Cricetulus griseus: one gene and its partners. The protein of the gene in region 1 interacts with the protein of each later gene in a pairwise test. Links are inferred from orthologs where the notes say so. Each region holds a gene or a part of one and is shown on either strand. Other genes may lie near its edges. The genes, in order: Lrrc7, Homez and Nqo2.

Region 1 (3,653 bases):
AGTTTGAGATTTTGGAAAAACATATTGTTTTTACCAAAATACAAATAGAGTGAATGTTAATAAATGCAGAGAAAAAATCGAATCATTCTAAAGCACATGGAACCCTTTATGAGCACAGACATACTCATCACAGAGCACACAAACAGGGTTTCTGGTCTATTGCTTCCGCTTCTGTATTTCATGATTCTATCAACACATCCATGGAGCATATTAAATGTATTTCCTTTTTATCCTTGGCTATGGATTTTTTAAGAGGGAGTCTGTAGTTATTTTGACAATTCAATGAAATATAAAAATGAATCAAGAGTCCAAAGCAGAATGCATCACCCACTGGATCTTGATTTAACACAAAATCCTTGAAGACGGAAACTGGAACCGAATTGCTTTAAAGGTTTGTACTGAATTTAGCGTAATTATTTTCTAAGAATTCGCAAGTTTTAAACCATGTCTCTTTGGTCATAAGACAGCAATATTCAATCATCCATAAATGTTTCTTCAATAGAAAGTTTTTAAAGAATGCATGTCATTTTGGATTTATGACTCCATTTTGAGTTTTCCGTAATGACACAGTCATCATGAATGACAGCTGAAGAAATGACATTTAGAAAATGTGGTAAGGTGGGGGACAGGGAACACATCACACAATCTTGATTTATTAATAAGATGCATAGTAAGTTACTTAGGTCATTAGTCACTACAAGTGAAAGCTGTTAGTATTATTTGAAAAATTGTACAAATAATATAAAAATTAATGAGAGATTCAAGATGCCACCAAGATATAACATGAAAAACTGTTAATGATATCTCAGCCAATTCTCATATTTGAAAAATTTAAATAACTGAAATATACAGGCTTAAATGTTTAGCCTTGTTTCTTCGTTCAGGTTAGTCACAGTAAAAGATTTCTTAAAAATATACAGTTAAAATAAACGAATTATTTTGCCTAAAAAAATCTTCACTTGTGGTTGGACACTCACCTCCTTTTAAAACTCAAACATAAAGAAACAAAAGTTCTTTTCAAATACACCAGCCATGTAGAAGATTTAGAGATGTAACATCACTATCGCACGCCAATCAGCTTGTTTTCCACAAATGTATATTTTGGCTGGTACTGTCTGCATGGGGCCCGGCCCAGTGACCAAAAGGATTATTGTAGAATGTTACAGATGAATGAGAGTCACCTAGACTTTCCTCCCACTTTCAGCTTGAATCTCTCGCACATTGTTATGGGAGGGGGGGAATGGAAGGGAGTGCAAATCAGACTTGCTCAGTCAGAACCGGGACATTCCTCTCTTTCTGAATCACACCAATGCTGCCCAAACACCGGCCCTCTAGACTGGGGCCTCTTCACAAGAATAGAAAATGACTGTGACCTTCCAGAGAGGTCACATAGTGGATCCCTCCTCTGTCTGAATAATAACAGCGGACAGACAGAACAACAAGAGAAACAAAGGCCAAAAGTTCACCTTAACTTTCCCAGCACTTTCGTCATCTTCTTTTTTATCCTCAAATTCAAAGGCAACAGTCATGCGCTGCTGTCTCTGCTCTTCCCACAGCGTGGGGTTGAAGCTGTCGCTGTCTGACTGGAAATCTATGGAGTCCAAAGTATTAATGCTTTTCTCTAATATACATGATGTATTTAGTAAAGTTTAATAGACTATGCAAAAAGAGACAGCAAGCACCACTAATCAATACAGTCAATACATTTAAAAGGACTGGGAAAGGATATTGGGGAAGACGAAGGAGAGCGCGGGAAGGACAGGAAGTGGGAAGCAGAACATTCCTTTTGGTGTTTCTTATGTCTTGAGTGTTTTGCTGTTAGTCATGAGGTTTGGGAATTTTCCTAGTATAGGAATGGGTTCCCCTGGGCTAACAGCAGCAGCATGGAGATTGGGTGAAGCATTCCAGTCTCGTTATTCCTCAGAGCAGTGGAGGAATCACGTTAGCATCATCTTTCTCATGAAGATTCTGTCCCAGGTCTCTCAGGTTCCAGGCCCTACACCATGTGGGAGCGACTACAGAGCCTGTGTCACATTGTAACAAAGTAAGATCACACACAGCAGTGACTTTTTAGCAAAGTGCCCAATACGCTGATGTTCTTGCTGGTTCTTTGTGTGTATGTGGGAGGTGTATGTGACTGGAGTAACCTCATTTTCAAGGTAGAGAACACATGGAGAATTCGGTTTTAGCACTATGGTTTTAATTCATTTAAATGTGCCTCAGATAAGCGGGGAAGATGGTTTATAAATCACTATTTACGTAAAAATGTGGTCTAATGGTAAAATCTGCTTTGTAACATAATTGCATGAAAATTGCATGAAACCCGGTAACAAGTGCTTAGTTGAAGCTAACTCATTTTCCAAAGAATTTTCCTTTGTCACAAATTTCTCTGTCTTACAGAATTCTTAAAATTCGTTTGTTATTTTCTTTTCCAACAGACAGAAGTTGATTGACTGAAGTCCAAGAATTATTTTTCAATTATTGCACCAAACTTTCAGTCCTCAAGAGAAAAACAAACAGAAAATTCAAGACAGTAAAGGCAAATGCTTTTGCAACTTGGGTCACATGACTGCTGACTTCACACTGGGGACCTGACCAGGGGCTTAGGTGACACACTAGATCGATCTCAGGGATAGCCTGTGGATCTGGTTACTTCTTATCTTTTCTTTGCATTATTTTGAAGACCAGGGATGTTTCGAAGAAGAAAAAACAAATTCAGGTTAATAGAACAGTCCGTACTTGTTTTTTTTTGTGCTACAAAAATGTGGTGGTTTTTCTTTCATAAAATCAAAAGATCAATTTATTCAGATGTGAACATTATACTTCAAAAAAATCTTCCCCTTTTATATTTCTGCAAGCCAAAATTTGAATAAATGCATCCTTACACATTCCCCAGTGATTCATTTACATCTGGAAGTCAAAGACTAAAGCCATTTATTATTATTCTTGAAAATGAGGAACACACAAGCAAATGGTCCATTTCTCAAGCTGATCTCAGACAGCGTGCGTTTATCTGAGGCTGCATCAAAGTGGGTTCATTGTCATAAGAAACCATCCTGATTCTGCATAGCTACAGAGAACACACACCAGCCAGTGCTACTCAAATAGGAAAAGGCAACCCCTTCTTAAAACTTTCTATAATAGTACGATCACTCACAGGCTAGAAGACTTCTAACAGGTTTAGGTTTTTAAAAACTGTTTTTTAATCATGCTTCTCATACTGCTTAGGGAATCTCATGTAGGGGTCAAAGATTGTTGTCCTGATCTTTAAAATACTCTGTGCAATATGTGTGCACAAGAGAAGGCCCTCTCCTCTTGCAGCCAGTTGCTGGGTACATTTAATGACCAGGTCCCATACCCTGCAGCCTGACCCTTAGAGAAGTCACTCTAGAGTATTTCCATTATTATTGTGTGCGCCATAAAGAGGAAGACTTTTCTCTTTGGTGGTGTGTGTGTGCGTGTGAGTGTGTGACTGTGTGAGTGTGTGTAAGTGTGTGTAAGTGTGTGTATGTGCGTGCGTGCGTGTGTGTGTGAGTGTGTGTGTGTGTGTGTGCATGTGTGCACCTGTGTGTTCATGTGCATTTGGGTACATGTGTGTGCACATGCAGGTGGAGTTCAGACATCAACATTAGGTGTCTTATTCATTTGATCTC
Region 2 (3,309 bases), on another chromosome or scaffold:
CCTCTGGTTTTCTATTTTTATTTAATATATCAAAATATATCCTGAATCTTTAAATAATAAAAGTAGACTAAATCAGAAATAATCTTAAAGTGTGCTGAAGCTTGAAATTAGGGTGTCATATATGCTAGGCAAGAGGTCTATTGCTGAGTTACATACCCAGCCCTTAAATTAGATTGTTAATGGACTTGACTACATCAAACCCCTAGACTCAGGCTTGGTATAGATATAGCCCATTGGCAGAGCTCTTGGAAGGTGGAAGCAGGAGGAGCAGAAGTTCAACTACAGCCATAACTCAAGGCAAGCCTATCAAAAAAAAAAAAAAAAAAAAAAAAAAAAAAAAAAAGCCAGGCATGGTGGCACAGGCCTTTAATCCCAGCACTCAGAAGGCAGAGGCCGGCAAATCTATGTGAGTTTGAAGCCAGCATGGTCTACAGAGTGAGTTTCAGGACAGCCAAAGATACACAGAGAAACCCTGTCTTGAAAAATCACACATACACATACACACATACACACACACACACACACACACACACACACACACACACACACACACACACACAGAGAGAGAGAGAGAGAGAGAGAGAGAGAGAGAGAGAGAGAGAGATTATATAAGATTTTAAACCATAGGAGAGGCAAAGTGGAGAAAATAAACAATTTTATTTTTGGCCTTTTTTATTATTTTAGCAATTTAGTGCTTGCACTCTATTTTCAGGCGACTAACCCACTGTTACCAGTGATCCCCAATGTTGACATTTATTCTAGAACATCATTGAGTTAGAAGACCATGGTCCTTCTGTCACCAAGACAGATCCTATAAAGAGGGAAACATTTCTTGTTAGATACAAACTGAACCAGTAGCAAAAAAGGAAAAAAAATAAAAAAAAAAATAAAAAAAACCAACAATATCAGTCTGGACAGAAAGTGGTGTCAGGTTGTAAATCCAAACCTGTAACATCCCCACTATCCTTCTCTGTTACACTGTGCCATTATGTTTCAAGACAGACTCTTATGTAGTCAAGGCTGGCCTTGAACTCCTTGATCTTCCTGTCTCCACCTGCTAAGTGTTGTAATCACAGGCACCATGCCTAGCTCATCATACTTTAAAGGGCAAATCCCCTAATCCCCACATTCAATAAATATACAGACTAACATTCACAATCTGATTCTTAAAATTTTTCACAGACTCTGTGTAAAGATTTACCCTGAGACAATAGTGAGCAAAGAGGAGATTTCTTAGAAATAAAATGGTAGAAGGCAGATTGGTCCCAGTATTAGAAGCAAGAGGTATCTACTTCTGCATGAATCAAGTGGCAAAACGAGTAAAAACATCAAACTGGTATGACAAATATCTATGACAAAACCGGGACACTGCAGATCCTAGCTGCAATATGCATGCGCATGTGCTCAGAAAGTCAGGAATGGGCACAAAGCAGCCTTGTATTCTCTGACAGACGGCAGGATTTGGATCACAATACTTCTCTCCATCCCAGGTCTCATGTAGATGGGGGGCTGAGACAAGGCTTAAGCGTACTAAAGGAAAAGAGTAAGAGGAAAGCAAGAGCCCTGTCTAGCAATTGTTTGCCCAGATCCCTGGCCCTCTCCACAGTGAGTCTGGAGAATTTGGTTTATGTTGATCTAATACCTTAGTGTGGTTACCTCCCCAGTCTACTGTTAAATTACTTATCCTGCCTTGTCCACTCTGAAAAACACAAAGCTTTTTAGTTCTTTGTGACAGTGTGTTTCAAAAAGGTTTAAACGGTCAATAGGGTGGTTCATCTTTCGGTAATAGACCCTTTTCTTCCTCAACCCCCCAGTCCTGTATGGCATCATCATCATCATCGTCATCTTCCTCCTCCTCCTCTTCCTCACCATCTTCTGGCAGTTCTTCATCTTCCTCCTCCTCTTCATCTAGGCAAACTACCACCTCCGCTGGCTCAGACAATCGAGAGTCAAACCAATCCAGCACTTGCTGAGTGCTAAGTCTTGATGCCTGACTCAGTTTAAGAATATCAGCTTCCTGCAGCTGCTGGTGGGTTGCCCAGTACCTCTCTAAAGGTTTTATGTCTGGTGGGAGCGGTAGGGCTGGCAGAGGTGGTGTTAAAGGTTGTATGTCTGGTAGGGGTGGTGGGGCTGGCAGAGGCGGTGTCTTGACCCATTCTTTCAAGGAATGAGTTGATGGTGTGGGAATGGCTGGATCTTGAAAAGTAGGGGCACCAAGTACTGCATTGTCCCGAAACCATTTCAGTTGTCCATGCTTCAAGGCATATCGGGTGTCACCAAACCATTGAATGATCTCAGGGCGAGGTAAACCAGTTATCTGTTCTAATTTATGGTAATCTTCTCGTCGTGCCCATTGGCACTGTAGAAAAAAGGATTTGAGGATGGCCAGCTGTTCTTTGGTTTTACGCTTAGTCTTTCGCTGGTGTTGCATATCTGGTGAAAGGTATTCTGTGGGGCCAACCCGATTTGCTACTGAGTTATTCCGTAGCCTTTGGGGCCAGGGTGGTTCCACTTGTGGAGACAGTGCCTGCTCACTAGGCGAGAACGACTGTGGAATATAGCCCAAAGGCTGGAGGGGTTTAGGGGTGGCAGTAGTTCCATTAGCCAATACCTGGAAAGGAGGAGATGGAGGTGTCCCACTAGGTGCTGATTCCTCCTTACAACTACTGACAAGTAATGAGATCAGTGGGGGCTTATCCTCAGCATGTGGCTGATGAACAGCTGTGGAGTGATTCCAGGAAGCAGTCCCTACACCACATGACTGGTCAGAACCCCTTTCCTGCTCCTTAGAGAGTCCACTGATCTGAAGATCCTGACAAAAACCTGATTGGTGGGGTAACGCTCTGCTGCCTGTCATCAGAGGTTCCTTCACTTTCTGGTGACTCTGTGGCAGCTGTGGTACCTGAGAGGGTTCCTCAGGCTCAACCTTCAATCCTTTCATCTGGGTGGGCTCACCAAGAGCCAGAGGACACAGTCCAAGAGCAACCTGCTCTGGAGAGGGCACTGGAGGCATCTCCGGTGGGGGCCACACTGCGTGATTTGTGAAAGAGAGGAGAGACTTGAAATGGAGCTGATCTCGGTGGTACACCACTCGGGCTCGAGTCTCTTCTATCTCTTCAGATGACCAGCTAATGCCACAGCGGAGCCGTTGGGCCATGAACCAGGTCTTTACCTTCTCCATCTGCAGCCCATATCTCAGGCAGAGGAGAGCAATATCTGCCAGGCTTGGATAGGGGAAGTAGCTGAAGGTTTGTAGCAGGTGTTCATTTCCATCCAGCTCACTGGTTTGCGCTGCTTGAGTCCACACAA
Region 3 (4,331 bases), on another chromosome or scaffold:
AGTGTAAGCATGCATCTCTCTGTGTGTGTTCTTGACTGTGATGTAATGTGACTAGCTGTTCTCTTTCCCGTTGCCTTGACTTCCCTGCTATGATATACTGTAACCCGGATTGCTAGCTAAAATAAATCCTTTCTCCCTGCTTTTTTTTTTCCAGCTATCTATCACAGAAAAGAAACTAGAACACCAAGAGGATTAGAGGAAGGAAGAATGGTGAGTTATTATTTAATGGTATAGGACTCTGAGATAACTCAAGTAAGGTAGAAAGAGTTCCATTTTGCTGATGGTTTCAGAGGTTTTAGCTCAAGATTAGCTGTCTCCCTTTGCTTTCTGACCTGTGGAAAGATTAATTATCTTGGCAGAGAGTGCATGTGGAGGAGCCTGATTCATCTCATAGAGGCACAGGACCAAAGAGAGAGGAGACAGTGCCAGAGTACCCACTTCCCTTCAGTGGCATATCCCCAATGAGCCAACTTCTTCCCACAGGTACCTCCTACAGCTTCCAGCACCTCCAAAAGTGCCATGGCCTGGAGAACAAACCCTCAGCGTGTGGGCCTTTAGGGACCTACAAGATCCAAGCTATGGAATGGAAAAAGAGTTTTTGTTTGGAGTTGTGCAAAAGTTTTGGAAATCGGTAATAATAGTAACTAAAGATTGTGAATGTAACTAAAGCCACTTAATTTGACACATAACACACACACACACACACACACACACACACATACCTAACAAAACCTCGACCCCAAAATAGGTGAAAATTTTTTTCTGTGTTGTTATTTTTGGGGTTTTGTTTGTTTTGTTTTTGGAGACAAGGTCTCCTTAGTACAGGCTGGTCTTGAACTTATGGTCCTCCTGTTTCAGCCTCCTCTGTACTTGGGATAACAGGCTAACACCATCATATGCAGTTTCTCATCTATTTGAAAGGGGCCATTGCAGGACACTAGGAATTAAAGCAAGGAGCTTGGTAAAGGTTCTAGAGGAAGCCAAAATCACAGACTGGCTGCCAGCAGCACAAAAACAGCCTGGAAACAGACAAACCTAAAGTGCCCAGCAGCTCCCTTTGTCAGTGTCGCCAACCACAGCACTAGTTCCAAAACTTTCCATCTTCTAAGGGGAGGTCCTTGGCCTTGTAACATTTAATTTTAACCATATTTTATTTACACACACACACACACACACACACACACACACACACACACACACACACATCCTTTTCATAGTTTCCCCCACTGATGACATCTGGCAAGTGTCTTACCATGGAGTGACACTGATAGGGAAGCAAAGAATTCATCCCTCAACACAAAGATTGTTTTTATAGTCAGCCATTTCCCCTCCTAAATCTTGGCAACTACTACTCTGATTCCCCATCCCTGTAATTTGCTCTTTCGGGAAACAGAATCATGAAGTTCATAACTTTTGGGGATTGGCTGCTCTTACTGTGGGATACTCCCAGCCAACTGGAGCTGAGTGTATTCACAACTCATTCCTTTTTTGATTGCCTAGTAGTACACTGTGGGCGTTTTGTTTTGTTTTACCCGGATATATGTAGTGGCTGTGTATGATTATGTACAAGGCAGGAGAGCGCCTCTACCCTTCTTCCAGAACCGGCTTCCTGCCAGTCTCCAATCAGCTAGGAGCCAAACTGGTACTGCCCACAACCAATGGAGTCCAGCGCTAGCAGGTAACAGGTCAGGGACAGGGAGACTTGGGGAGGCAAAATAGAAGTCCACTGATCCCGCTTGTGGGTGGGCAATTATTGCCCATAGGCGCGGGAGGACAGTGTGAGGGCGGGTGAGGGGCGGAGCCCAGCGGGGGAAGCCGCCCTGCGTCCCAGTGCGCAGCCGTAGTGCCTGCCGGCTAGCTTTAGGCGTTCGTGCCCTGAAAAGCGGAGGTGTCTCATTGTGCGCTACGCTCCCTCCTGGAGGCCGAGGTGAGAGTCAGTTTACTGCTTCCCAAGGGCTAGCACCTCCTTCCTGCAAGCGACTTTAGGGATTGGGGGAATGGGACGGAAGATACCCCTTCTGGTTTTTAGCTTGCGAATTAGACCGTGAACTCATGTCCCTGAGGTTCCCTGTACCTTGAGCCTTTCTTAAAGTATCAGTAGACCGTACCACATTTGACCCATGTCCTGCTTAACAGAACGGTTGAGTTTGTCAGCCCACTTCTGGATAAAGAACAGCTGCGGGTTTGCTATTTATTACCAAAGGGTAAAAGTCAAAGCGGAGCCGAGAACCGAGTTTGTTCCCACTGCCTTCCCTTAACCCTGGCGCCTTCAAGCAGCTGCGGCTCACTCTACCTTCAAAGACTCTGGCTCAAAAGAAATATACCTTCTGGAACTACTAATGTGAAATTAGCAGTTTCGGTAACCTCTTATCTCTGGAAATCTCGGAGAGATACAGAAAACTGAACGCGTATGGATCACAGAAACCTCTAGTAGAGTCAAGTACAATAGGTATGGGGGGGTTGAGAAGATAACTTAAGTGAGCACAGAAGGCATGCGGAGATGATATCGCTGCAGGATGACATGCTAACTTAGAATGACCGCCATAGAGTCTGCCTGTGTGGAAGAACGGGGCATAGTAAATGATACAGTGAAAATATCAAAATAGCTGCTGGGTGTTTATCTCTAAATATCAGAGCTCATTTCATGTGGCTTGTCCCTTAACAACCACAGCCTCCCACCAAAGACAAAACACCTTGGATAAGTTGTAGTTTCCACCTAAGGAGAGCTATCGATCATCTCTGTGCCTGAGGGTGAACAGCCCTGTCAGGAGACTTTCTGTTCCTTCCCATTCCTTATTCTAGGAGAGTTGAGTAAGAGGAAATTCAACTCTGATGCACACACCGCCCTCCATTTACTGTAAGTGTGTAGACTGGGCTGAGTGGTACAGCTAGGGGTGGTGAAGCGAGGGGAGGCTGAAGAGACGGTATACTGTGCCTAGGGAGCTGCAGTGAAGCCCCAACTAAGGTGGCTCTGGTCCCTCATTTGGGGAATCTCAGGATGAATTTTGTTCATCTGCAGTGGCCCTGGGAACCTCTGAAAAAGTGGACCAGGCCATGGGGCTTTCTGCCTAAGGTCTTCTGTTATTCTTAGGAAAAATCTTTACCCTGCCCTATTTACTTGGTTATTCCCCATCCTGCTTCTTGGCTGCAACCCTCACTTCAAACCACAGCTCAGCTAAATAACCTTTCTTGATGTTTCTGGAACTCTCCAATTCAGCTCCCATTGGGTCCTTACTTGATTGCCTGCCTGCCTGCTTGGACTCTCTCTTGATCCAGGTTTCTGCATGGCTGGCTCAATATCACCATTTATTCACCGTCTCTCTTCTGACACCCCAGAGGAAATGTGGGCTTGTGGTGTCTATGTAATGTTTAGTGACTTTGAGATACGAGAAAGTCTCTGATCAGTGCTCTGCCAGAGATGAAGCTTTTGATCTGCTCTCTAAACTTGCAGTGTAAACCTCGGGAGGAACTTTGACCTCCTTCTCTAACCCTTCTAGTCTTAAGGCATATCCATGTCACAAGGCTCTAACCCTTCTAGTCTTAAGGCATATCCATGTCACAAGGCATTAAAAGGAGGGGAACCCTTAGCACCTTCAGCTCACAAGATTTTAACTTGCAAATAGCATTCATCAGAATAGCATTCATCAGAACAGAAAATACTTGGCACTGACTTCTCAGGAGGTCAAGGTCAATTCTGACTTTTAAAAGGTGAGACTGTACCCTGGGGAAGATTTCACCCAGCATGGAGCTTTCCACCTGTTGACCCAGCATAACCCTTGGTATCTTCCAAAATCCCTCAGCACCTAGCACACCACCACTATCATCAAATGAGGGTTTAAGACAAAAAACTCATCTCCATTTTCCTCAAAGGTTATGCTTGAAAAAAAATAAATCCACTTTCTCCCACCAGTCTTATAGAGCAGCATGTAATATGAGCATGGTGATACTGATTGGGTGTGTATTTAATGTGACAAACATCTTTCATCGAAATAAAGTGTTTCTTCAGGGTATCACTACTGCCACGGTCACTAGTACTTTCCACTGTCTGGGCTCTGTGCTTGCTTTGCCTACTTGTTGACTGTTCACTGTCTTTCCACTACCAAAGAGTATATGTAAAGCTCATTTCTCATTTGTGATGCTCACTTCTGTGTCTCAGCACCTCATTCAGTATCACACCAGATAGCTGCTTCACCATCCGGTTATTGTGAATAAAGCTTCGATGGACATGCAGGAACAAGCGGGTCTGTCTCAAAATCCTGTGTTTCAATACCTTTCAAGTAGTGAGTAGTCAGGGATGATCCTGAACTCCTAATCTAGGATTACTGGCATAT

Evidence for each region.
Region 2: the proteins of Lrrc7 (region 1) and Homez interact in a two-hybrid assay, tested with the Homo sapiens proteins (2 studies listed by BioGRID). The two-hybrid records come from large-scale screens. The link is inferred for Cricetulus griseus from reciprocal best matches to the Homo sapiens genes LRRC7 and HOMEZ.
Region 3: the proteins of Lrrc7 (region 1) and Nqo2 interact in a two-hybrid assay, tested with the Homo sapiens proteins (2 studies listed by BioGRID). The two-hybrid records come from large-scale screens. The link is inferred for Cricetulus griseus from reciprocal best matches to the Homo sapiens genes LRRC7 and NQO2.

What each region holds. Positions count from the first base shown.
Region 1 is NW_023276806.1:1,472,513-1,476,165, reverse strand, and holds part of Lrrc7 (leucine-rich repeat-containing protein 7), read right to left. Parts: intron 1,592-3,653; coding exon 1,467-1,591; intron 1-1,466.
Region 2 is NW_023276807.1:210,050,960-210,054,268, forward strand, and holds the end of Homez (homeobox and leucine zipper protein Homez), read right to left. Parts: coding exon 1,760-3,309; 3' UTR 639-1,759; downstream 1-638. UniProt on the Homo sapiens protein: May function as a transcriptional regulator.
Region 3 is NC_048596.1:253,798,739-253,803,069, forward strand, and holds the start of Nqo2 (ribosyldihydronicotinamide dehydrogenase [quinone]), read left to right. Parts: upstream 1-1,525; 5' UTR 1,526-1,678; intron 1,679-1,801; exon of another isoform or gene 1,802-1,927; intron 1,928-4,331. UniProt on the Homo sapiens protein: The enzyme apparently serves as a quinone reductase in connection with conjugation reactions of hydroquinones involved in detoxification pathways as well as in biosynthetic processes such as the vitamin K-dependent gamma-carboxylation of glutamate residues in prothrombin synthesis.